Linked DNA regions of Oryza sativa Japonica Group. Each later gene encodes a partner of the first gene's protein in a complex. Links are inferred from orthologs where the notes say so. Each region holds a gene or a part of one and is shown in the gene's direction. Other genes may lie near its edges. The genes, in order: suppressor of mec-8 and unc-52 protein homolog 2, U1 small nuclear ribonucleoprotein 70 kDa, heterogeneous nuclear ribonucleoprotein 1, serine/arginine-rich splicing factor SR45a, SNW/SKI-interacting protein A-like and serine/arginine-rich SC35-like splicing factor SCL28.

Evidence for each region.
Region 2: suppressor of mec-8 and unc-52 protein homolog 2 (region 1) and U1 small nuclear ribonucleoprotein 70 kDa share a complex: the UniProt entries of both Arabidopsis thaliana proteins name them as parts of the spliceosome. The link is inferred for Oryza sativa Japonica Group from reciprocal best matches to the Arabidopsis thaliana genes SMU2 and U1-70K.
Region 3: suppressor of mec-8 and unc-52 protein homolog 2 (region 1) and heterogeneous nuclear ribonucleoprotein 1 share a complex: the UniProt entries of both Arabidopsis thaliana proteins name them as parts of the spliceosome. The link is inferred for Oryza sativa Japonica Group from reciprocal best matches to the Arabidopsis thaliana genes SMU2 and AT4G14300.
Region 4: suppressor of mec-8 and unc-52 protein homolog 2 (region 1) and serine/arginine-rich splicing factor SR45a share a complex: the UniProt entries of both Arabidopsis thaliana proteins name them as parts of the spliceosome. The link is inferred for Oryza sativa Japonica Group from reciprocal best matches to the Arabidopsis thaliana genes SMU2 and SR45a.
Region 5: suppressor of mec-8 and unc-52 protein homolog 2 (region 1) and SNW/SKI-interacting protein A-like share a complex: the UniProt entries of both Arabidopsis thaliana proteins name them as parts of the spliceosome. The link is inferred for Oryza sativa Japonica Group from reciprocal best matches to the Arabidopsis thaliana genes SMU2 and SKIP.
Region 6: suppressor of mec-8 and unc-52 protein homolog 2 (region 1) and serine/arginine-rich SC35-like splicing factor SCL28 share a complex: the UniProt entries of both Arabidopsis thaliana proteins name them as parts of the spliceosome. The link is inferred for Oryza sativa Japonica Group from reciprocal best matches to the Arabidopsis thaliana genes SMU2 and SCL28.

Annotation. Positions count from the first base shown.
Region 1 is NC_089045.1:2,156,834-2,160,843, reverse strand, and holds the end of suppressor of mec-8 and unc-52 protein homolog 2, read left to right. Parts: intron 1-1; coding exon 2-50; intron 51-157; coding exon 158-247; intron 248-1,037; coding exon 1,038-1,106; intron 1,107-1,187; coding exon 1,188-1,311; intron 1,312-1,704; coding exon 1,705-2,063; intron 2,064-2,237; coding exon 2,238-2,624; intron 2,625-3,019; coding exon 3,020-3,295; 3' UTR 3,296-3,510; downstream 3,511-4,010. Other genes in the region: phospholipase A(1) DAD1, chloroplastic, read right to left, coding at 3,918-4,010. UniProt on the Arabidopsis thaliana protein: Auxiliary spliceosomal protein involved in splicing of specific pre-mRNAs that affect multiple aspects of development.
Region 2 is NC_089044.1:1,015,679-1,019,914, reverse strand, and holds the start of U1 small nuclear ribonucleoprotein 70 kDa, read left to right. Parts: upstream 1-1,436; 5' UTR 1,437-1,520; coding exon 1,521-1,622; intron 1,623-1,722; coding exon 1,723-1,837; intron 1,838-1,997; coding exon 1,998-2,077; intron 2,078-2,790; coding exon 2,791-2,866; intron 2,867-2,947; coding exon 2,948-3,012; intron 3,013-3,111; coding exon 3,112-3,174; intron 3,175-4,236. UniProt on the Arabidopsis thaliana protein: Mediates the splicing of pre-mRNA by binding to the loop I region of U1-snRNA.
Region 3 is NC_089044.1:18,096,319-18,100,070, forward strand, and holds heterogeneous nuclear ribonucleoprotein 1, read left to right. Parts: upstream 1-1,243; 5' UTR 1,244-1,358; coding exon 1,359-1,580; intron 1,581-1,657; coding exon 1,658-2,830; 3' UTR 2,831-3,252; downstream 3,253-3,752. UniProt on the Arabidopsis thaliana protein: Involved with pre-mRNA processing. Forms complexes (ribonucleosomes) with at least 20 other different hnRNP and heterogeneous nuclear RNA in the nucleus.
Region 4 is NC_089037.1:8,817,989-8,822,168, reverse strand, and holds the start of serine/arginine-rich splicing factor SR45a, read left to right. Parts: upstream 1-1,380; 5' UTR 1,381-1,510; intron 1,511-2,367; coding exon 2,368-2,390; intron 2,391-2,469; coding exon 2,470-2,538; intron 2,539-2,653; coding exon 2,654-2,765; intron 2,766-2,836; coding exon 2,837-2,986; intron 2,987-3,093; exon of another isoform or gene 3,094-3,191; intron 3,192-3,308; coding exon 3,309-3,372; intron 3,373-3,495; coding exon 3,496-4,121; 3' UTR 4,122-4,180. UniProt on the Arabidopsis thaliana protein: Probable splicing factor involved in constitutive and/or alternative splicing events. May bridge the 5' and 3' components of the spliceosome.
Region 5 is NC_089036.1:32,490,198-32,494,359, reverse strand, and holds SNW/SKI-interacting protein A-like, read left to right. Parts: upstream 1-1,362; 5' UTR 1,363-1,463; coding exon 1,464-3,287; 3' UTR 3,288-3,719; downstream 3,720-4,162. UniProt on the Arabidopsis thaliana protein: Splicing factor involved in post-transcriptional regulation of circadian clock and flowering time genes. Associates with the pre-mRNA of PRR7, PRR9, ELF3 and GI, and is necessary for the regulation of their alternative splicing and mRNA maturation.
Region 6 is NC_089037.1:14,526,512-14,530,654, forward strand, and holds the start of serine/arginine-rich SC35-like splicing factor SCL28, read left to right. Parts: upstream 1-1,343; 5' UTR 1,344-1,434; coding exon 1,435-1,652; intron 1,653-3,127; coding exon 3,128-3,205; intron 3,206-3,576; coding exon 3,577-3,741; intron 3,742-3,856; coding exon 3,857-3,924; intron 3,925-4,004; coding exon 4,005-4,044; intron 4,045-4,143. Other genes in the region: pentatricopeptide repeat-containing protein At5g18950, read right to left, coding at 1-1,167. UniProt on the Arabidopsis thaliana protein: Involved in intron recognition and spliceosome assembly. Probably active at the 5' splice sites.

The DNA of each region.
Region 1 (4,010 bases):
GGTCTACAAAAGAAGATCAAGCAGTCTCATTCCGCACTGCAGCTGCAAAGGTAGGTTTCCTTTTAATTTACAATAGAATTGATGTTGGCTGCTTATATTATTGACCATGTAATGTAATGTAACATGGACACTAAAAGCAGTTCTTGGTTCATTGCAGTCTGTCTATCAATGGATCATAAAGCCACAAAGCATCATAAAGTCGAATGAAATGTTTCTTCCTGGTCGGATGGCATTTATTTACAACATGGTACCTCCTTCAAAGTTCCCCCTTATGTTAATTACATTTTTTTTGTAATTGGTGGTGGCCATTTTCCTTCATAATATGATACTACAATATATTATTTTATTTTCATCTCTCATCAGGATTCATCTGTACGAAACATGATGCTGCTATGTTGCAAATAAACGTTATTGCTATTTCAATTTCGAATTTTTCAATTCTGTGCTAGCATGTAAATGATAACATGCTTATGTTTTGTCAGCTTTTATAGTATACATGATGCATGACTATGTTTCATGATGTATTATTGTTTGTTTCTCTGCTCATCACCTGGAATGCAGTACAATCAACATGCTCAAACTCTCACTTCACTCCACAATATGCAAACAAGAGAAGAAATAAAGGAAGGATGAAAGAACTCTTCAAATATCATACTTATAGACTATAGTATAGTATTGCGGTTACATGTGTCTGGTGCAATGATTTTTATGTCATGCACATTTAAATTGTGATTGCGATGCATCATGGCTTCAATGATTACTAATATACAGTATGTTCACTATGACCATGATCCATCTTACAAGTCAGAAATCATCACTAGATCATATTTTGTATGCATAATGTTTTCATTTAATGGATTTAACCTTCCAAATGATTTTCTGATAATAAGAGTAAAGGTGTTCGCATTGCCTATTATTGTGGCATGTCCAGTACTATTGATTTATGCTATTTGCAAATAATTTTTTTCATCATTCCCTGCTTTGATTTGAACTACGGGTTTTAGCTGGAGAGTGATTAATTTCATTAATGAAACCAGGAGGATGGACTTACCAATGATATTCCGACAACACTTCACAGGAGCAAAGCTGATTGCTCTGTTCCAGAGGTATTATGGCAATACATCATATGCCACATTGAAGTTTCCTGAAATTTATTATTTTCCTCAGTATTCTTCTTGCTTATGCAGGAGATGGTAACTGTCAGTGTGGATGGTTCTGTACTTGATAGGATTGCTAAAATCATGTCATACCTTCGACTTGGATCATCTGGGAAAGTCTTGAAGAAAAAGAAAAAGGAGAGGGACACAAAAGGTATGTTACTTGAAAATTAAAATGGATTTTGTGCAGTGGAAGTTGACTGAAAAACTAAGTGACATTAGGAAAATGTTCTTGGTTAAGATAATATGTGAAATACGCTGAAATGATTTGTTTGGAAGCTGATACTTGCATTGTGAAAAAAAGAAAAGAAAAGTATGATTGGTACTTTTTTCCACAATGGTTGAGTCTTGTTTCAATTGTTTTATAGTCTCACGTCAATAATTTAAGTTTGGGTATTTTAAGTTATGACCATATGTTACACGTTTGTTTTACATTATGAACGAATTAATTAGTTCACTTAATGTATTTGCAATGTATGTACTTTCTCATCCATATCTTCACTTGCTTTGCTCGATGAAGTTAGATATCTTGATTCTTGTTACGCAGGGAAGAACAGTTTAGCAAGTGGTGACTACGATGAGGTAGCTAGACCTGGCCAAACTAATGGGTCTGCTCTGAAACATCAATTTGAAAAGGATATGCCACCGCCGCCACCCCCTCGAAATAATAATTTAAGCAAAAATGAGAAACCGTCTGCTCCAGTTGCTAGAGCAGATGAAGATGACATTTTTGTTGGAGATGGGGTTTACTATTCTGTTCCTAACAAGGAAATGAGCCAGAGCCCTGTCTCTGAAGATATGGATGAGTCCCCACATAACCATCAGAAGCAGTCCTATTTCACTGAAGAGAAACCTATCTATGGGCCCATCCCACCATCTGACCCTGCTCAAGCTTGGCCACAACCGGTAATCCAGCTAATGTTTAACTTTGGTTCCACTGTGTTATGAGCAATTATAGTTATGCGTGTCGAATGTTGGAGACAAACGAAGTGTTTGTTTACAACCTTCTACTGAAATAGCCATTTATTAGCTTGTTCTATTCTTGACCTGTATTTCCTAAAAGTTCTCTTCTGATGTCAGAATGCGTACGATGCTATTCAAGCTCAAATGGTAGCTGCTGGATATCAAGGGGAGTGGTCAGGCTATCAGTATGGCGAACAACAGATGGCTTATCCAGAACAGTACATGCAACAAAGCGCTCAGGACTGTGATGTACTAGCTGATCCAAATATAACCCAGGATCCAAGGTTGATGACTCAAGCAGATAAAGACAGAGGTCTTGGTTCTGTTTTCAAACGCGATGATGAAAGGCTTAAACAGCTGAGGGAGAAAGATGCACGGGAGAAAGATCCTAATTTTATCTCGGATAGTTACTCCGAGTGCTATCCTGGTTATCAGGAGTATAATCATGAGATTGCAGGCAGCGATGAAGAAGATGATTTATCGAAGATGGACATGGGTGGCCGGGTAAGTGAGTACTGTAGTATTCTGTATGCTTTTTTTTTTTTTCGTTTCCCTTCGTTATAGCAGATAAAGTTGCTTTTTAGCCTCTTGTGTGGACTTGATGGACCTGTTTCACCTAGCCTGTTTTAGGGGTTACATAGAATGTGTGGGATGGCACAGTTTGTTGTGTAACCCGTCAGTGGATGTTTTTAGTTTTTTTTCGTCTTTTCCTGTCGCTGAACTGATGCTTTTCCTTAAGAGTAAATTTGGTAAGGGTAGGAGCTGTTTCTCCTCTGTTTCAAAGAAAAAAAAAGATAAACTTGCTTTTGTGGATTTCTTGAGCTCATGTTTTCTATCCATTTTAAAAAACTTAATACTACCTATTTCCAGCTTCATTATAATGTATGATTCCTTTGCAGGCTAAGGGCCGTCTTCACAGGTGGGACTTTGAGACAGAAGAGGAGTGGGCCACATACAACGACCAGAAGGAAGCCATGCCGAAGGCTGCATTCCAGTTTGGGGTGAAGATGCAGGATGGCAGGAAGACGAGGAAGCAGAACAAGGACCAGAAGCTCACGAATGACCTCCACAAAATCAACAAGATACTTGCGAGAAAGAAAGGTGACAAAGATGGAGGGCATGATGGCGGGCATTACGATGATGATATGCCAAGTGGGAAGAAGCAACGTGCCTGATGCTATTAGACACTTATAGTTTATCCTGCGAGAGGTAAAACTGTATTTGTACTAGGAATTACAGTGCCATGAACACCTGACAGTTGTAATGTTCTGCGTTTTGGCCGGTGCAGAAGGGAAAAAGAACGGGATGGCCATGCTTTCGAGCTGAAACAGTGATAATATGTAGCTCATCCATTTTTATAACAGAACAGCCCGTAATTTGCTTTGTTTTACTACGAAAAGAAAAAAACATCGAAAGTCCAATTTTCCATGACAATGTACGCGTTAAGTCATCTGCTAAGCAAATGACGTACTCCGTTACGTTTTGGAAGAACAGTATATGAACTGTTATGGAAGAACAGTAATGTGAACAGGTCAAAAGACATTTTAACTTCCGTTACGTTTTGTCATTACAAAAGAATCACCATTTTACAGAAACTGTGAATGACTGATACTGTCACTCTGTAGTTGATCTATTCCTGTTCTCTGTCAGTAAAAAAAAAAAAGAATCACCGTTTGACAGCAAACTGAGGTGCGTGCGTTAATTACTCCTAACGTGTTAATGCATTGGCTACAGGTCCTAACTAAGCTGTGCTAATTACTGTGTTAATTACTGTGTTAGCGTAGACACAGGTCCTAACTAATATGTGCAGGCTGCCACGAGCTTGAGATACAAATCAAGGTCATGCGATGCAACCACGTTGCGCGCCGTGTCGCCCTGGCTGCAAAGGCG
Region 2 (4,236 bases), on another chromosome or scaffold:
TTTTTCCATTCTTTCCCCTTTCGATTGTAAACTCATGGTTGACACATATATGTACAGTTCAGATTTATAAGTTGCAGCTATGCCTTTAATGGATGAAAGTGGGCATATATGTAATTTTGAGATGGTTTTAAAGTGAGTGATTTATTTTCTTGTGCTTGGTACAAACTAACAATATGCATGTAAGAAAGGTTTAGGATAGGGTAGATTTACTCCAAAGCTGCTTGCAGCAGATAAGTTTACACTACAATATTTAGCCGACAGGTTCATGGGCAAGTGTTTGTGAGTTTTTTGGTCCAATTTTTCTAAAATAATAGGCCAAGTCTTTTATTCTTAGATGAAAAACAGGCTTTCCCTATTGTCTTCTGAGGTTTAGCTTAAAAAAGCCCACGAGTTCATGAAAAGGTAGTTGTCAGAACTGAGAGGTATATAGCCTTCCTTGGCTTGCTAGCCTTCAACCTATCGTTAGGCAGTAAAATGGAACGATGGCCAGTTCTATATATTATGGCTCTGCTGTGCTTATACCATTTGTTATTGGAGCATTTCATCCCTAGGTCTATAGCAGCGCTCCTCTTCATATCCTCATTCCCATGTGCTCATGAGGTATGTGCGTCGATTTGCATCCAAATAATATCAATGATGGACGTTTGGTAACTAAATGTTAATTCTTAATTACCACAACTAAAATATATGCCGTTTAATTGCAATCAGGTTGTCCAATAAACTTGAAGAAGATATAGGTAAATGGAAGCCTGATGATATCATGCAGGTAAATAAAGGCCTGATAAGATCAAATCAAGTAGGAATTTGTATTTTTTTTACCAAAGATTAAATCAAGTGGGAATCTCGTTTTTTTTCCCTTAAAGTGCTTATATGCTAATAGGGTAGATTTAAGAGGACGTCACGGGCCCAATCAGGCATGCGAAAAATCACGCGTGAGGGTGTTGCGGGCCCAATCGCAGAGGAGCACAGAGGCGTATGTGGAAAATGAACTCAGGCGCAGGTCTGCAAGCGGCAAGGGGCACGTAAAAAGGTGCATGCCTAATTACTTCGTACGCGTATGATTTAATAGAAACATAAAATTAAAACCTATTCCAATACAGATGATGTACCAAAATTCTAACGAAAACATCTTCAATTTTTATAATAGTAGAGAAGGGATTTGCATCATCAAATATCGCCGTAGCGTTAGCACGGGCATTTTACTATTTATAAAAAATGTGACACACGATTATAGCCCCCGTGATTCAATAGCGGCAGCAAAGATCCCTGCAACGCTCAGGCAGCAAAAGCATACACTAAGTCACCGACGCATGGGCCCGTGCGAGAGGGCGCTGACGTGTGGGCCCCACATAAAATTCTTCCGTCTCGGCTTCCCCCTCTTTTTACTTCTCTCTCTCCTCCCCTAATATCCCGAGAGAGAGAAAGAGAGATCCCCCAACGCTTCGCGAATCGCAAATCCCTCTCGCTTCTCTCTCTCTCTCTCTCCTCGCGCCGCCGCCGCCACCGCCGGCGCCGCGGCCATGGGCGACTACGGCAGCGGGATGATGCGGGGGAACCCGGACGGCGGCGGGATGCAGTCCCGCACCAAGGGCCAGCGCGTCAACGTGCAGCAGCTCAAGCTGGTAAGCCCCCACCCCCCCCCTAAACCCTAGCTGCTATAACCCTAGCTCCTCTCCGGATCCGCCTCGATCTGAGATCTCTCTCCATGGCTCGCGACCACAGATGGGGCAGGGACACCCGACGGGCCTCACCCCCAACCTGCTCAAGCTCTTCGAGCCCCGCCCGCCGCTCGACTTCAAGCCGCCCGTCGAGAAGCGCAAGTTGCCGGCCTACACTGGTATATTCCCTCACCCGCCTCATCTTCTATTCTATCTGTTCGGTTCTAGGGGGATTATGAATATATTTTTTTCTTTTAATTTTGTCTGTTAGATTTATTTTGTGGATGAGTTGCTTCCTGATGGATGGACTCACTCTTGTTGTTGATTGGTTGGTTGCAGGGATGGCGCAGTTCGTGTCGCAGTTTGCGGAGCCCGGTGACCCTGAGTACGCGCCACCCGTCCCCACATGCGAGACCAAGGTATACTGATACTGCTGCAAATTTGTTTTCTGTATCAATTTTAACTCGTTTGAAGCGCAATCGTTAGTGTTGCATTTTGTTTTATGTCTCCGTAGTGCAAGATGTTCCTACTTCTTATGTTGTCGTGACCATGTCGTATTTATGCCAATGGTATACTTTTCGTGTGGCCATAACCATATTGCATAGTTTCCACAACCATATAGTTGCTTTTTTCAATCGACAAAATCAATTATTTGTAATGGTGTCAGAACGCTTGCTGGTCTCTGAACAATCAGGATTTCTTAAGACTGTTAGTATTAGTATGTGAGCTTCTATGACTACACCTGCTGGAAAGTCACTCACAATTTGACTGTTTGAGCATTGTTCCACTATAGTCAGCACAGGAAAATTAGGTCCAATAAGTTCTACCTGAAATTGCGAGGTAAGAGTTGGAGTCAAATGTTCCCACCTCTGAGATGAATATTTCCACTTTCACCACATGAAAACTCTCTCAAAATAAGACATGTGTAGCTGTCCAAACATTTGTTTGCCAAAATTCTTCTTCTGGTAATTGTATGTGACTATGTCAAATACGCAGCTTTTTGTTGGCACTACTGGCTTTACTCTTTTTTTTTCCATGTCTGTTATTGTTTCTAGATCTACTGTATTATTCGTGCCTATTGTCATTTCATCATTCCAGGTCATGACTTGGTGATTATGTTTTATTTACGCAGGCTGAAAAGAAGGATAGGATCCGCAAAAGTAAGCTTGACCAAGGTGCGGCTAAGGTGGCTGAAGAGCTTCAGAAATGTAAGTTCTTTCTTAGCTGCTCTTCCCTTTGTATCATATGATAGATACTGATAACATCATTGGTGTGGTTTCTTAATGTAGATGACCCACAGAGTGACCCCAATGCCACTGGAGATCCATACAAAACACTCTTTGTTGCAAGACTTGTAAGTTTTTTTGTTGCATCATTCACAAATTATTTTGAACTACATAGTTGGTATTATTTTTGTATGTTACTTCCTATTGACTCCAGCAAACGTTTACAGAACTATGAGACGTCTGAGCATAGGGTCAAGCGGGAGTTTGAAGCTTATGGGCCTATTAAAAGGGTAAGTACATGTGGTAAATTCCAGTGCAGGTGGACTTATTCCTCTTTGGTAAGGTGTTTGGTTGTTCTAATTCATCTACAAAAACATGTTTTAAGAAAAAGCTGGTTCACTGCCATTATATATTGCTTACTTGGAATTTCACAACAAGGTGCTAAAGGATGAAAGGGATATCTTCTATCTCTCTCCGATTTTCAATGGGCAGAATTGTCTGTAGTATTTGTTTCTAAATCAAACAAAATGCTGTGAAGTCTTCTTTTTTGTAAAGAACAAAAATAAGTTATTCTGTCAAGTCTTTTTTTTTGCAGCAAACAAAAATAACTTCTTGTTTTTGTCAAACAGTATTCATAGCACTCTCATTTTCAAGTTGGGCAATACATTCACTGTTTTGTGTGTAAGCATGCATTTGCTGTTTGCTTCTCAATAATGATGTTGGTTGCATTTTGCTAAACCAAGGAGAAAATAACCAAATAATCTTCTCAAATTATTTAAATAACACTTTTATCTTGTATTGACATGTATTGGTTTGGGTGGTTCGGACAGTCTTTTCTTTGTTATCCATTTCTAAACATGTGGGCTCTGTTGATGTACTTAGTGGATAAGTAATATAGAGCTCCAGCAGAAATTATGTCTTCTGGTAATTTTTGTTAGACATATTATCTGAGTTACTGTTGAGCAATTTAATGTGCGAATGGTTGGTACAACCATTAGAAGACTAAAAAATCCTGGGAAATACAAATACACACAAGCAGGTATTTTTACTGCATGCAGCCTTGATGTTTTTTTTTCTTAGAACATCTTTTCCCTTTTACTCTCGGAAAAGATCAAACCATTTGCTTCTGCAGTAGGCACAATGTATCATTTGTTTTCCCATTCTATGAACTTGCTTCTCGTGTGTATTAACTGGAGCAAACAAGCTTGAAGAATGTTGGCGATGGCACAAGTAAGCTTAGATCACTTTATGCTTTTAAAAGCAGCTTATCTGCAGGCATGGGGTTTCTACATTCTGGGATTTATTAGGTTGCTGGTGAGTACAGTGTTTATGTTACTTTCCCTGAGCTGTTA
Region 3 (3,752 bases), on another chromosome or scaffold:
CCATTTACAAAATCCGCTATGATTTGCACAAAATTACTACCCAAACTGAATAACATTACTATTTTTACAGGGCAATCCAAGGATGGGTGGATTTACTCGATGGATCGACAATGTCACTCCATCATATCATGGCCAGAAGATAACATAGTCAGAAACACAAGTAGAGTATCAACGATTGAAGGACCACGAGAATGCAATGCATTCTGACCGACCTAGAAGGTGCCGATAGGTTACCGCATGCTTGATTCGTCGGGATCGACAAATTTGTACCGTGTATCGATGGCACTTCTTATCTATCTTATCATTACAATGTTTAATTATGGTGGTGATTTTTTGTATGCGTAAGACTAAGGGCCTATTTGGATTGCTACCAAAAACATGCCCTACCAATATTTTGGTAATTTGAATAGTACTTGTGTTTGATTTCGATTGAAGCCTATTCATTGGTAATACGTAATCTAGATTTGAGATTATGTAGAACATTCTTCACTACAATTTTACATTTTGGCAGCAAACCAAATATGATCAAATGCAATTTTACCTTACCAAATATTTGGTAGTGCCAAAACTTGCTTATATTTTGGCACTAACAAAATATTTGTACGGTAACATTCCAAATAGGCCCTAAAAAATAATAAAATTGTATTTTACCAGTCTTGGAGATTTTAATCTTGTATAGTTTTCAATATAAAAAGATTTGATAACTATTGATATTTATAAAAAATATAAAGCACAGTATAAATTCGCCCTCCCCCAGGGCGGCAAGGGGGCCGCCTGCAAAATTCCAGGCCCCCCGCCGCCCATTTGCAGGCGGCCCCCCGCACAGTACAAAATCGCCCTAGCGGAGGGCGGCAAGGGGGCCGCCTACAAATTTCGTTGACGGCCGTCGCCCGAGAGCGAACGGCCGTCTGCCACGTCACTTTCGCCGCCCTCTGGGATGGCGATTTTTAAAAATCGCCCTCCCAGAGGGCGGTAGGCGACCACTTCTGTCAATTTTCAAAATGAAAAATTATTTTTTGTAAAACTTTTAATAAAAAAAATTAAAAATAAAAAAAATTCGAGTTCCTACAAGCTCGCACCAAATTCGGCCCATAGAAAGAACAAAAAAAAAAAACCCCAAAAAAGAAGCCCACAGAGAAGAACAAAAATAACCCGTCTCCCCCACGTCCCCACCCCCCACACGACGCGCCCTAAAATATCCCCAAACCCTCCAAATCTCCGCCCCCCACCTCCCCTCCCCGACGCCGAAATCCCCCAAATTCCACCCCCGCCTCCTCCTCCTCCTCGCGTCGCGAGAGAATCCGAGGCGCGCGAGCGAGAGGAAGGAGAGAAGGTGAGAGCAGCGGCGGAGGGAGGAGATGGAGTCGGATCAGGGGAAGCTGTTCATCGGCGGCATCTCGTGGGAGACCACCGAGGAGAAGCTCCGCGACCACTTCGCCGCCTACGGCGACGTCTCCCAGGCCGCCGTCATGCGCGACAAGCTCACCGGCCGCCCCCGCGGCTTCGGCTTCGTCGTCTTCTCCGACCCTTCCTCCGTCGACGCCGCCCTCGTCGACCCCCACACCCTCGACGGCCGCACGGTATCCCCTCTCAAACCCTAGCGAATATTCGCGTTGGATTCCCTCCTCTCAAGGTTCGGTTCGGTTCGGTTTCGTAGGTTGATGTGAAGCGGGCGCTCTCGCGGGAGGAGCAGCAGGCCGCGAAGGCGGCGAACCCTAGCGCGGGGGGGAGGCACGCCTCCGGTGGGGGCGGTGGTGGGGGAGGCGCCGGTGGTGGTGGTGGTGGCGGCGGTGGTGACGCCGGCGGTGCGCGGACGAAGAAGATCTTCGTCGGCGGGCTGCCCTCCAACCTGACGGAGGACGAGTTCCGGCAGTACTTCCAGACCTACGGGGTCGTCACCGACGTCGTCGTCATGTACGACCAGAACACGCAGCGGCCGAGGGGGTTCGGGTTCATCACCTTCGACGCGGAGGACGCCGTTGACCGCGTGCTGCACAAGACCTTCCATGACCTGAGCGGGAAGATGGTGGAGGTGAAGCGCGCCCTGCCCAGGGAGGCCAACCCTGGCTCCGGCAGTGGTGGCCGTTCCATGGGAGGCGGCGGTGGGGGTTACCAGAGTAACAATGGGCCGAACTCCAATTCTGGGGGCTATGATAGCAGAGGTGACGCTAGCAGGTATGGTCAGGCGCAGCAGGGTAGTGGTGGTTATCCCGGTTATGGTGCTGGAGGATATGGTGCTGGTACGGTTGGTTATGGATATGGGCATGCTAACCCTGGAACTGCGTATGGGAATTATGGGGCTGGAGGATTTGGAGGTGTTCCTGCTGGGTATGGTGGGCATTATGGCAATCCAAATGCGCCTGGTTCAGGTTACCAGGGTGGTCCTCCAGGAGCAAACAGAGGACCATGGGGTGGTCAAGCTCCGTCTGGTTATGGCACTGGGAGTTATGGTGGCAATGCAGGCTATGCTGCTTGGAACAACTCTTCTGCTGGAGGTAATGCACCCACTAGTCAGGCCGCTGGTGCAGGCACAGGCTATGGGAGCCAGGGCTATGGATATGGTGGATATGGAGGAGATGCATCGTATGGTAATCATGGTGGATATGGGGGTTATGGAGGAAGGGGAGATGGTGCTGGCAATCCAGCTGCTGGCGGTGGATCTGGGTATGGTGCTGGCTATGGAAGCGGGAATGGCGGTTCTGGTTATCCAAATGCTTGGGCTGATCCTTCACAAGGTGGAGGGTTTGGGGCTTCAGTCAATGGAGTGTCTGAAGGCCAATCAAATTATGGCAGTGGTTATGGTGGTGTGCAACCTAGGGTTGCTCAGTAAATGAGGCCATTAGAGCATCTATGAGATGAACCAGCAAAATTGGGCAGTCTATGTATGTTGTGTTACCCTGGCCCCTCTGATTGCTTTTGGCCTCTTGAAGATCTCCCATTTGCTGGTTAAATCAGTATTTCTCCGGGTTGGAATGCTTGAACCTTTTGCGGCTTACTACTAGAATGTAGTCAATAACTAGCTTCTAGCTATACTATGGAGTAGCTGTATCTTGCGTAATGCTTTATTTAAGTTTAGCCTTATCTGTCGGTGTGCTTTGTCATGAGTGGAATTTCAGTTGCTTCGTCTCTAGTTTAAAGCTAGAGTAGCTTCACTACTTATGGACAACAAACTATCTAGTTGTACCTTTATTCTACAGAATCATATGTTTGTGGTTGACAGTAGTATTTATGCTGGATTGTGCTTTACCTGAATCTGAAATGTTCTATCTTTGGTTGTTTCTCTGTGGTGTGCTCTAGCTCACCTTGCAGTTAAGGTGCTGTTGCGTATTATTCCATTAATATTGATTGTAACAGATGACAATCCTCAAACTTCTATGCAGTGATAGAGGTGTTTTATACTGTAGCTGCTTCTAGCAGTAAGTTCAGGTGTAGTGCAAGTGCTTTTCATGTCATTGGAATGATATATCATTAAAGTATGTGGTCGAGCTATGAGTATGTTTCTGATATTTGGTATGTAGATGGATAAACAAGCATAGTAGAGGCAAACAATTAGCCCCTACCTGAAGCAATAAGAGCATATTAGCAGCAAGTTGGTAGCGCCAATTTCTAAGGTAGTATAGATACAGAGAAGTCTGTGATACTACTTGATGAATGAAATACAGGTAGAAACCATAGAGTAGAATACTCCAGGCATTTGGCAAGCAAAATAATCATCCTTCCTCGTACATTTCCTTTCTGTACAGGTTGGATGC
Region 4 (4,180 bases), on another chromosome or scaffold:
TTATTCTACTTTATATCATGTCCTACTTGCATTAAACCTAGCAATATGTTTTGTAGTTTAATTGGATACGCCATATGCGGCTTCATCTTTTCTCTTATGCTTATGCTTATCAGCTAAAATTTGAATTTTCAACCTTAAATTTGAAGCTAGTTTTAGAGTTTTTTATTGAAGTTTATTTTTCAGCATTTACTTTTAGGTCGCTAAGAACACGTATATAAATGCTTTATTCACAAATTACTTATTGTTTGTAAATGTGTCGTTTGGCTTATTCCAAGAATAAGCCAACCAATGGGGGTGCGATTTGGATGGAGATAGCATTTCATAACTCGATAATTACTCTGACAAATAGAACAGCTAAAGCAAAATCAATCAACCATTCTTTTTATTATTATTATTTTCCTATGTTGAGGTTCACACATAGAATTTTTCATTTGTAAAAGGACACACCATTTAACAGTTCGGAAAGCGTGCGCACATAAAACAAAGATTTGAAGTTGGGAAAGGGAAGAACCAAACACACCCTTAGGCCCCGTTTAGTTCCAAAAATATCAAATCGAATATTTGGACACATGTATGGAGCATTAAATGTAGATTAAAAGAAAAACTAATTACACAGTTAGGGGGGAAATCGTGAGATGAATCTTTTGAGTCTAATTAGTCCATGATTAGCCATAAGTGCTACAGTAACCCACATGTGCTAATGGTGGATTAATTAGACTCAAAAGATTCGTCTCGCGATTTCCAAGCGAGTTATGAAATTAGTTTTTTCATTCATGTCCGAAAACCCCTTTCGACATCCGGTCAAACGTCCGACGTGACACCCAAAAAATTTCATTCCGCGAACTAAACATGCCCTAATATTTGTAACATAGATGAACAATACAATTGTAAGACACATAAGGATTGTAACTCTTATATTTTCATTAAAATCTCTGTTGGGGGTGTCCATTTTATAGAAATTTTACAGGGGAGTATAGGATTGAATTATTTGTTTAAAAAAAACTCGTTAGAATTATCATTATAATTAAAATGCTCTAATTTTCTATAGGACCAAAAGAGGTCTAGGCTGTGTGTTTAGTTCTACACTAAAATTAGAAGTTTGGTTAAAACTGAAAGTTTAAAGAAAAAAAATTAAAAGTTTATATTTGTAAAAATTTTTGATGTAATGAAAAAATTGGAAGTTTGAAGAAAAAGTTGGAAAGTAAACCAAACCCTGAAGGGAAACTTTTATTTACTGCAAACCGAAAGAAAAACCAATGGCTCCAAGAAGCGCCATGTGTGAAGGCGTGAAGAGGAAGGCGGAGTTCGTGCGCGCAACCGATTCATCAACCAGATTTGAGAAACTTTCGCGTCCGCCTCCGTCCAGAACCTTCCCCATTCCACACTTCCATTTATTCTCCCAACCGCACGCGCTCCGACGCGCAGAAAGGCAGCGCCGTGACTGAGAACAAGAGAGGCCGGCACAGAGAGACGCTCTCGGCTAGGGCACGGATCGTCGCGACGAAGGAAGGTATTATTGCTGCCTCTGATTCTCCTCATGTTTTATCTCTGCTAAAGACGGTGAATCCGTTCGTTCTCTGTTCCAGTATGGCGATGGTTTGCCCCTCTGATCTGTATAAAAACATCCGTTTATATTTATTTATTTTTGTTATTCTTAATCTATATAAAGATAAATCCTAGCTGTAGTTCGAAGCGTTGCGGCAGGAGTTCCCCATCTTGGATAGCGGCTCATTTGTTAAAATGATCTGATTTGCGTGTATTTGCTTTGCAAAAGAAGAGGTATAGATTGCTAGTACATGGGTTTCTAGAGGGGCACGAAATGAAGAAATGAAGGGAACAAATTGTTGTACAACTTGTGGCATAATCATTTTTTGTCCATTGTATATGTAGTTTGAAACGCAACTGTCGAAAGTTCGAAACTTGCATAGTGCCCCTACATGCCTCGGAGGAAACTTAGGGACAGTGTTAGGAAGTCGATTTATCTTAGGGACTGTATGGTTGGAAGCTTCAATTGCTGAGCGCAATTGCATAAGTTATAGTTCATGATTACCATGCTGAAAATAAACAAAGAATCTCCTGTCTTGCAGTTTCTTGTTCATTTCGTTATGTTGGTTTGTGGATTATTTTTGGCGTGCGCTAGGTATATACTCTGGGTCATCTCTTCATTCTGAAGATAATAATTTTGTTTTGCAAAATATCTTACTGATTGGCATATTGTCACCAAGGTGTCATAAATTAATCAGTTACAACTTCAAAAGGCTATGAACCCACTGTTTGTTATAATTACATTTTCAAGTGGCATCTCATGTTTTTGTATATATTTGTTTCTCTAGTGGATATTGATGCAATCATATGTCTATCTTGCAGATGTCGTACTCCAGAGGATCAAGGTACGCATTACCAAACTTAATTTTTTTCCACATTTTTTGAAGCCCTGTCTTGTGATTATTGATTGGCTCCTACTGATAGATATGAGTCCGACTCATATTCTACATCGCCCAGACGGAGCAGCCGTTCAAGGTATAGGAGTCGTTCTAGGTATGGTATTTATCTTAGCGCTTAGTATGTTTCTGCCTTCACTCTATATTCGAGGGTGAACATTTTTGCCTACTGTAATTCTGATGAGTATGTGATATCCTTTTGATGTCTTTAGAAGTGTGGACTCAAGTGATGTTGAAAACCCTGGGAACAACCTGTATGTTACTGGCTTATCTGCTCGTGTGACAGATCGAGATCTGGAGAAACACTTTTCTGCTGAGGGAGAGGTAACCTTTATAGAGTATCTGCAAAGGGATACCAAAATAGTGTACAACTTTTTAAGCTCACCGTATTACAGGTTATTGATGCTAGCATAGTACTTGATCCATGGACAAGGGAATCCCGGGGATTTGGATTTGTTACCATGGCTACTGTTAAGGAGGCTGATCTTTGCATCAAATATCTAGACCGCTCAGTGTTGGAAGGTCGTGTGATAACTGTAGAGAAGGTATAATCACAATATATTTACTGAATTTCTTCACTTCTACTTGGAGTGAAATTTATATGCTCATTTAGCTTGCTGAGCTGAATATTTGAGTGCTCTTCCGTTTGAAGCTTTTGTTGACAGCAGCAGGGTAGATGTCCGTTGCTGCTCTACGTCAAATTCAAAAGATTTACAACCTAACAGCCAAACATGCTACCTCAACCAAAGGGTTGTATGCCCTACATTATATAGTCTCCATATTAATCATGTCGTTCAGATTCCCAATTTGTTGCATCACTCTTTAATGCTAATATGGCGAAAAGGCTTATTTGAATCCTTTCCACAGGCCAAGAGAAGACGTGGTCGAACACCAACGCCCGGAAGGTATCTAGGCACAAAATCATCATGTGGTAAGTTTGATTTAACTGCTGCTGTGTCTGGATGGTTTGGTCTCATTTCTCTGGAAAATAGGAAGCATTGCTAGCCTTTCCTGATATAATACAACTGATTGCTGAATATTTTTTATTATACAGTGACACCAGCACGGAGGTATTCCCCAAGCTACTCGCCTGTTGAAAGAGACCGCTACAGTTCACGCTACTCACCTGAGCGAGAACGGTCTTATTCTCCTTATGGTAGAAGGCGATCATATTCTCCATACAACAGGCGAAGATCATACTCCCCCTATGAGAGGCGTAGATCCTACTCTCCACATGAAAGGAGACAGTCCTACTCTCCGTATGGCAGATCCCCTTCTCCTTATGGTAGACGGCGATCATACTCTCCCTATGACACACGTGGTTCACGGCGTCGGTCATACTCATCTTACCGTGGTTCCCGCTACCGTTCAAGATCTCCATACCGTTACAGAAGAGAGAGGTCATGTTCCTATGACCATTCTGTTTCACCATACTATAGAAGGTGCTATTCTCCAAGTGCTAGAGGACGGAGCTATTCTCGCAGTGTATCACCTCAGAGGAGCTACTCCCATAGCTGTTCCCCGGATTCTCAGAGGTCAGGGAGCTATTCTCCAAGGAAAAGATACAGTGAAAGGAAACCGTCGCGCAGCAGGTCGTCGGGTAAGAGGCATTCTAGGGAGAGCTACTCTCACAGCCGCAGTTCCTACTCAAGGTCTGTCTCCAGGGAGCGCTCAGAATGAATTGAAGCTTGATGTTCTAGAGATCAATAAAGCTCTCTATGCCTAAGTGTATGTCTGTA
Region 5 (4,162 bases), on another chromosome or scaffold:
GGTGTGGTTTCGCATTCTTTGGATGGATCTACTTTCATTTTCATTCTTCTTTTTCTGGTACAATTATACTCCCTGTAACTGTAGTCCTGTACCATGCAATTTAACTGTAGCATAATTCGTATTCTAGAAGATTTTGGCCTGTTAAAATACAAACAAATTGATAGTGTCCGTAGTACATGTGGAGTAGTATGTGCTGCCCATTTAGATCGAGTTGTCTGGGTACTTCCACGCCACCATTTTTTCCAAGTCCATAAAATATTTTCTATTTATTTTAGTACGGCAGATTTTCATTCGCTAGCCAACCATAGAACTGACACATTACATAGGCACTTTCTCTTTTTCCTGGGATAATACATTAACATTTGGGGTAACATTTTCTAGTGGACCAAAAATTTTGTCGGCTGGTAACACGGCCTTTGAGAAGGCCCAGTACTGCAGGTATACCATTCCGTCCGGTCTCCAGCCCGCTTCCTTACGTTGTACTTAGTAGGATAATTTGGGCTGGCACAGTAAGTAGGCCTAGCATTTTCACCGACCACGCGCGTGGGCCTGGCTGGGTGGTGACAATGTGTGTCATGTGGAGCCCAAATTGGCAGATTAAACTCGTGTTAGCAAGCGAAATTAATGGGCCCACTTGTCAGTCTCATTTATTCTCGTTAAACAAACAGGCAAACATTCCGAGCCGTTAATACCGTAGCCTCGTTACTCGTTACTCACTCCGTCCAAAAAAAAATAAATCTAAAATATAGAATGTGACATATCCTAGTAGAACGAATCTGGACATATGTATGTCCAGATTTATTGTACTAGGAAGTACTATGTTGGTTTTTTATGAGACGGAGGGAGTAGCCATTACCCGTGCAGACAAGCATGGCTCCGTTCGAGCAGGAGAGATTGCTGGGAGATTGAGGAGAAAACATCTACTTTTCTACGCGCACACTTCCCAAACTACTAAACGATGCGTTTTTGGCAAAAAAAAATTCTTTTGAAAAGTTGTTTTAAAAAATCATATTAATCTATTTTTAAAACTTACAATAGTTAATACTCAATTAATAATACACTAATGGCTCACCTCACCTTATTTTGCGTATCTTCTCAATCCCCTCTTTCCTATCCTCTCAGGATTCAACCCAGTTATCATCATCACCAGTATTAATAGTTTCCAGCCCAAGGAATTATTTTGTTTCGGACTAGAAGTCTCAGACACGATGGTATTTGCTTCGGATTGGCTAAGGATTTGGTGCATATTTATCGGCCCAGCCCAAATTCTTATCGGGCCTAGCCCATCCGGTAGCCGCCATAACCCCACCGGCCACCGTGGTCAGCTTCTCTTATCGCGTTGCCCAAATAATTACACGAATCGAACCAAACCCTAGCTTTTCCTCTTCGATTCCCGATCCCCCACCCAGCGACTCGCCGGAACCCTAGCCCTAGATCCCGCGCGGCTTGCCGCCGTGCTAGCCATGGCGTCCCTCAAGGAGCTCCTCCCGACGCCCAAGGCGGCGGCGTCGACGTTCTACGACCACAGCAGCGACCCGTGGTTCAAGGAGCGGTATGGCGGGGAGTCGGCGCAATCCGACGCGGCGGCGGCGGCGGCGAAGCCTTCGGGCCCCGCCAAGCCCGTGCCGCCGTACGGGAAGCGTGGCGGGTTCGTGCCGCGGCGGCCGGAGGACTTCGGGGACGGCGGCGCCTTCCCGGAGATCCACGTCGCGCAGTACCCGCTCGGCATGGGCCGGCGCGACGAGAAGGGCGGCTCGAAGATCCTCGCGCTCACCGTCGACGCCAAGGGCAGCGTCGCCTTCGACGCCGTCGTGAAGCAGGGTGAGAACGCCTCTAAGATCGTTTACTCAAAGCACAGCGACCTCGTGCCCAAGATTGCCACGGCTGATTCCGAGGCAACCGCGGACGACGAGGAGTACCAGAAACAGATCGAAGAAACCACTGAACGAACTAAAGCTGCCTTGGAGAAGGTTGTCAATGTTCGGCTCTCCGCCGCACAGCCCAAGAATGTGCCGACGCATGATTCAGAGTCAAAGTTTATCAAGTATAAGCCATCGCAGCAATCGGCAGCCTTCAATTCAGGTGCCAAGGAGAGGATTATTAGGATGTCAGAGATGGCTCAGGATCCTCTTGAGCCACCGAAATTCAAGCATAAGCGAGTGCCCCGCGCTTCTGGATCACCGCCTGTCCCAGTGATGCACTCGCCACCACGGCCAGTGACAGTGAAGGACCAGCAAGATTGGAAGATTCCACCATGCATTTCAAATTGGAAAAATCCAAAGGGTTACACCATACCACTCGACAAGAGGTTGGCAGCTGATGGAAGGGGGCTGCAGGAGGTTCAAATTAATGATAACTTTGCAAAGCTCTCTGAAGCACTGTATGTGGCGGAGCAGAAGGCCAGGGAGGCAGTACAGATGCGATCCAAGGTGCAGAGGGAGCTGCAGCTGAAGGAGAAGGAGAGGAAGGAGCAAGAGCTAAGGGCACTTGCACAGAAGGCGCGCATGGAGAGGACTGGTGCCCCACCTGCACCTACAGGGGTTCCTGCTGGTGGTGGTAGAGGTGCTGTTGATGACAGGGAGGAAGATATGGATTTGGAGCAGCCTCGTGAGCAACGAAGGGAGAGTAGAGAAGAAAGGGAAGCAAGGATTGAGCGTGACAGGATTCGTGAGGAGAGGAGACGTGAGAGGGAGAGAGAGAGGAGGCTGGAGGCCAGGGATGCTGCAATGGGCAAGAAGAGTAAGCTCACTAGAGACAGGGATCGTGATGTCAGTGAGAAGATTGCCCTGGGCATGGCAAGCACTGGCGGTGCTAAAGGTGGGGAAGTCATGTATGACCAGAGGTTGTTCAACCAGGATAAAGGAATGGACTCTGGGTTTGCTACAGATGATCAGTATAACATCTACTCCAAGGGTCTCTTCACAGCGCAGCCAACGCTATCCACACTTTACAGGCCTAAGAAGGACGGTGATTCTGATGTGTATGGCGATGCAGATGAACAACTGGAGAAGGTTATGAAGACAGATAGGTTCAAACCAGACAAAGGATTTTCTGGTGCTTCAGAGAGGTCTGGAAAGAGAGACAGACCTGTGGAGTTTGATAAACAGGAGGAGAATGATCCCTTCGGTCTTGATCAGTTCTTGACTGAAGTGAAGAAGGGGAAGAAAGCTGTTGAGAAGATTGGAAGCGGAGGAGCCATGAGGGCAAGTGGTGGATCCTCAATGAGAGATGATTACGAGGGTGGAGGATCTGGGAGGTCCCGCATTAACTTTGAAAGAGGTCGTTGAGGTATTAGATCTGCATGTTTTGTTCAGAAGTTTCTCCATGCATTCCAAATGTTATCTGGAGGGTATTCTGTTGAGAATATCAACTTCTTGATGAGAGGACTTGATGTCTGAGTTGTCTTAATGCAACGTCTACTTCCAAGGGGCATCTTAAGGAGTGTACCTGTTTAGATCCTGTGATTATGCTTGTTGTTTATCTATTTGTGGATGGATCTGTAAGCTTAACTTATCATCATTCCATATCCCTTATATTTTGTGGTGCTTTATGAAGTCTCGATGTGTCTGGCTGACCTTACATTTTCTGGTACTGTACCAAGTCTTTAAGATGTATCTGCCTATCTGGCTGAAATACTGAGACACGGGATACATATAAATTCCGTGTTCTGTTTTTTCACAAGTTCTAATTATTTCATGCTACCATGATTGTTGGCTGGATGGATTTCTGGGTATTGCCAATATCGGTATGTTGTTTTGGGGATATTCATGTTTTGTGCAAATAGTGAATTCTTCGAAAATTTTTTGTCGGTAAGCATTTTCTGTTGCAAGACTTTGCCGGAGCATTCCCTTTGCTTGCAGTTGATGTGGTTTCTGTAGTACCAACTTTCGGATTAAATAACTTCTCTTTTGTGATTATTACTGGTAAGATCATGGCATAATTTTAAAACACTATCCATCCTAAAATAAATAAACTTAATACATGATATGATATATCTTAGTATTAGAATCTGAACAGATACACACTTTCAGTTTGTTTTGTCTTTTCCTTTAGTTATGTAGATTCAGCCATAGTGTTGTGTTTTTCTTCAGGTATGCAGATTCAGCTATAGGAAATTAGGAACACAGTGAAGAGGAAAGTTTTCATTAGCACGTTTTCTTGT
Region 6 (4,143 bases), on another chromosome or scaffold:
CTTTTTAACCATTTCCTCAAACATCCCAAGCGCTTCGTCCACCCTCCCATGGGTACAAAACCCTGTGACCAAAATGTTACAGCTGACTGTACTCTCCTTTAAACCCTTCCCGAGCATTTCATCATACACCTTGCGAGCCATCTCGAAATCACCAGCTTTACAATAGTAGGCCACCAGAGAGCAGTAGGCATACTCGTTAGGCTCCATTCCTTTGTCCACCATCTCATTCCAGATTTGCCGCGCTTCGTCTATGCAGCCCATCTTGCACAATCCGTCGATCGCCGTTGTGTATGTGACCGCATCGACGTTGTAGCCCCGCAGCTTGATCTCGTTGAAGACTCGCAGGGCCTCGCTTCCCATCTTGTGCGCGAAAAGCCCGTGGATAATGCGCTGGTAGATGACCGTATCTGGGACACTTCCCGCGGCGATCATGAGGTGGAGCGTCTCGGACACCTTGCCGAAGTTGGCGGCGGCGGAGAAGGCCGCGACGAGATCCGCAACGGCGTCAAGCTGGGGAGGGACGCCGCGGCGAGCCCCGTCGCGGAGGAGGCGGAGGCCGTCGAGCGGACGGCCCTCGGCGGAGCAGGCGCGCACGAGGAAGGCCACGGTGGCGGCGTCGCCCGGGAAGTCCGGGGAGGATGAGAACGCGGAGAAGAGGCGGAAGACGAGGTCGGGGCGCGCGGCGCGGAGGGCGGAGCGCATCGCGAAGTTGAGGGCGCGGAGGGAGGGGTGGATGCCGAGGCGTGAGGCGAGCACCTCGGCGGCGTCGGCGGCGTCGGGCGGCCAGAGCTGGATCAGGAAGCCGTCCACGCCGGGGAGGAGCGGCGGCTCGTGCTCGTGCTCGTGCTCGGGCTCCGCCGGTGCGGCGTCGGGGGCGGCGGGGAGGTGCGAGGAGAGGAAGCGCAGGAAGCGGAGGGAGGGGTCAGGGGAAGGCAGGAGGTGGGAGAGGGTGAGGCGGACGCAGGCCGGGTGGAAGAGGAGGTCGCCGGGGAGGAGCGAGAGGAGGCGGGACTCGTAGCGCGCCGCGCCGAGGATGTTCGCCGCGGCCGTGGCGGCCGCGGCCAGGAAGGTGGCCGGCGGCGGGTTGTTGGCGTCGGCAGCAGCGGCGGCGGCGGAGGTGGAGGTGGAGCAGAGGCGCTGCACGGAATGACGCACCGGCCGCAGCATCGTGGCGGCGGCGGCGGCGGCGCGAGGAGTGTCAAGTGTGTCACGGTGGCCGCGGCCAGGTTTGCCTACGAAGACTTTTCCAGGCTTGGAGGCGGGTCAGATGGGCCGCTGGCCCATGGGCCCATGGGCCTTCGAGTTCTCCTAGATAAAAGCGCCCCGTGCCGTGCTGCATCGTCACCTCTCCTCGCCCAAGCCTTCGTCGACAGAAAGAAAAAAAAATCCAAACCTCAGAGAAACCCTAGGCCGGGTCGCGGCGAGTCGGCGGCGATGGCCGGGTACCGGAGCCGGAGCCGGAGCTACAGCCCGCAGCCGCGCCGGAGGTACAGCCGGAGCCCCCCGCGGTACAAGCGGTACGATGACCCGCGCGACCGCTATCCTCGCGGCGGAGGTGGAGGTGGAGGTGGAGGCGAAGGGCCCCGCCGCGGGTATGGCCGGCCGCCTGCGCCGACCGGGCTCCTCGTCCGCAACATCTCGCTCACCGCAAGGTGCGTAGCCGTTGCCCTCTTTGGATTATTATTTTTTTTTTGCCCATTTGATCTAGGGCTTACCGCAATTTGAATAATTGCTAGTAGCACAGCGCTATGTGGTTTGGTTGATACGTTCAGTGTGTAATCCCTGTGAATCTGCACATTGTTTTGTTTGGTAGTTGCATTAGGCTTGGTTGTGTGCTTCTGTGCTTTTCAGTCTTATATGTGTTTTTATTTGTTGCTGTATTCAGAATAAAAAACAGAGCAGGTTTGTTTTGATGTGGAACTGTTGAGAAAATACGACGGTTTTTTTCCTGATAGTTTGTATGCCAGCAAATGCTTGCTGGACTCATGGTAGTGGGCTGTTTCACACTTGTTGCTCTCTAGGAGAGAACAAATGTTTTGGAAGCCATTCACTAAGGTTGAACATGTTGGTATAGGTAGCTTCCATATTCCATACCCTACCTTAGTAACCTAATGCATTTTTCTAATGGTTTTGCGCATTGGATGTTCATCTGTACAGAGTGCCTTGAGATTCATGCATCAGTTAGACATGCAAACCAGAATTCCCATCTTCAAATAGCTCTTATTGTACATTAAAAATTTCCTAGCACTTTAGGCCCTGTTTGGGGAGCTTGTCCCAGCTGCAGCTTTTCCCAAAAGCTGCTTCTGCTAGAAGCTGCCCCAAACAGTCCACAGCTTCTGAGAATCTGTAGTTCTGAAAAATGAACTAAGAAGCCATAAGCTGGAGAAGCTGGGTTTCAGAGCTTTTCCAGATTCTCAGAAGCTGGCTACCAAACAGCTGCTTCTCATAATCTAAAGCTCCCCCAAACAGGCAGATACAACAGTGCATGGATGTCCACATATGTGGATTAGCATTTCTCTTGCATTTTTTTGTATCATCCAAGCTTTCACCCAAATGTCTTGTTACCAGGTTTTAACAACTCAAGTGTCAGGTTGGATTTTAACTGCATATATTGAGATGGAACATTTTTCAGATCTATTATGAAGTTTTATTTCGGTAGAGGCTAAATTGTAAGCACTAAATTGTGTTCCTTTAAGTGTTCCTAGAATTAATCTAGTTCTTTTAGATATGGCTTTGTTAGCAGAACCGTTGTTTTATGAACTTTGCATCATATAATGCTGCTTATGTCTCTGGAAAACAAAAACAAATGTATGAACTCTGGATGTATTCATATTTGTATATAGACAGTGGTTGCAACCTTTGATAATTCAGATCTTGTAGTTTGGAGACATAATGCTACTGTTCTAGGTTCCCTTCTCGATAGTTTGGAACGCTCAGGATCTTTTTTTTAAGTCAACATTTTCTACACTGCAAGCATGTAGTACATAAGTAGCCAGTGCACAGTAAATCATTCTTATATACAGCTTTCCACAATCACATACTGAAGTATCTTCTTTTTGTATGTAGATGATTTTGCACTGTAGCTACTAATTATGGTTTAATATTATTTGATTTTCGTTTTTTGCAGGCCTGAAGATATTCGTATTCCGTTTGAGCAATTTGGCCCTGTAAAGGATGTCTACCTTCCAAGAAATTTCCATACAAGGTAATAATAACTTATCTTATGTTTCTTACACAATTGTTTTGGTGCATTTGAGTTCTAGTTAAGTCAATATCTTAATTCTGGAACGTTTATCATGTTGCACAGAAGATAAGCAATTCTTTGAACAACATGAAGAAATTGCGTTAATTGAACCCAGTAATTTTTATCATTATTATGAACATTTCAAAGAGCATTTGTTTCCAGGCTGCCTTATGCTTGTGCTTTGATGTTGGTCTGAACCATGTATTCTGCTTGGAAATAGGGTTTATAGATGCTTGTTGCACATTCTGTGTTCTTTTAAGAATGTCTTTTGATGTGTATATTGATTTTGTCTGATTCACAATCACTTCCATGATCGTGTTAAATTGTTGTAGGGAATTACGTGGCTTTGGGTTTGTAAAATTCCGCTATCCAGAAGATGCTGCAGTGGCCAAGCAAGAATTGAATCATCAAGTTATTGGTGGACGAGAGATTTCAATAGTTTTTGCCGAGGAGAACAGAAAAACCCCACAAGAAATGCGGATGAGGACAAGAACAAGGTGCTTAATTTTTTATATTTTACCAACTTCCAGATTAGGCATTTGGAATATATATGATAGCAGCGACTGGAATTTGATGTAACAAAAGAAATGCTTTGTGCTTCTGTCTGTGTAGTGGAAGATACATGGATGGTAGCCACAGAAGGCGGTCAGTATCAAGATCTCCAAGGTCTCGTTACCATTGTAAGTATAAATGTTTGTTATATGAGTTAATATTTTATGATTTTTAATCTCATCACTAAATGATCTCTATTTCCTGTCAGCTTATTCACCTTCACCCTCTCCAGCTAGACGTGACTACAGGTATCATCTCAATATTTTAGTATTTACATATAGCATAGCAAATACGCTTGTCCTCTCCTGTTTGTCAGTGTTTCACTCTTTTTCCTTTCAAACATCTCT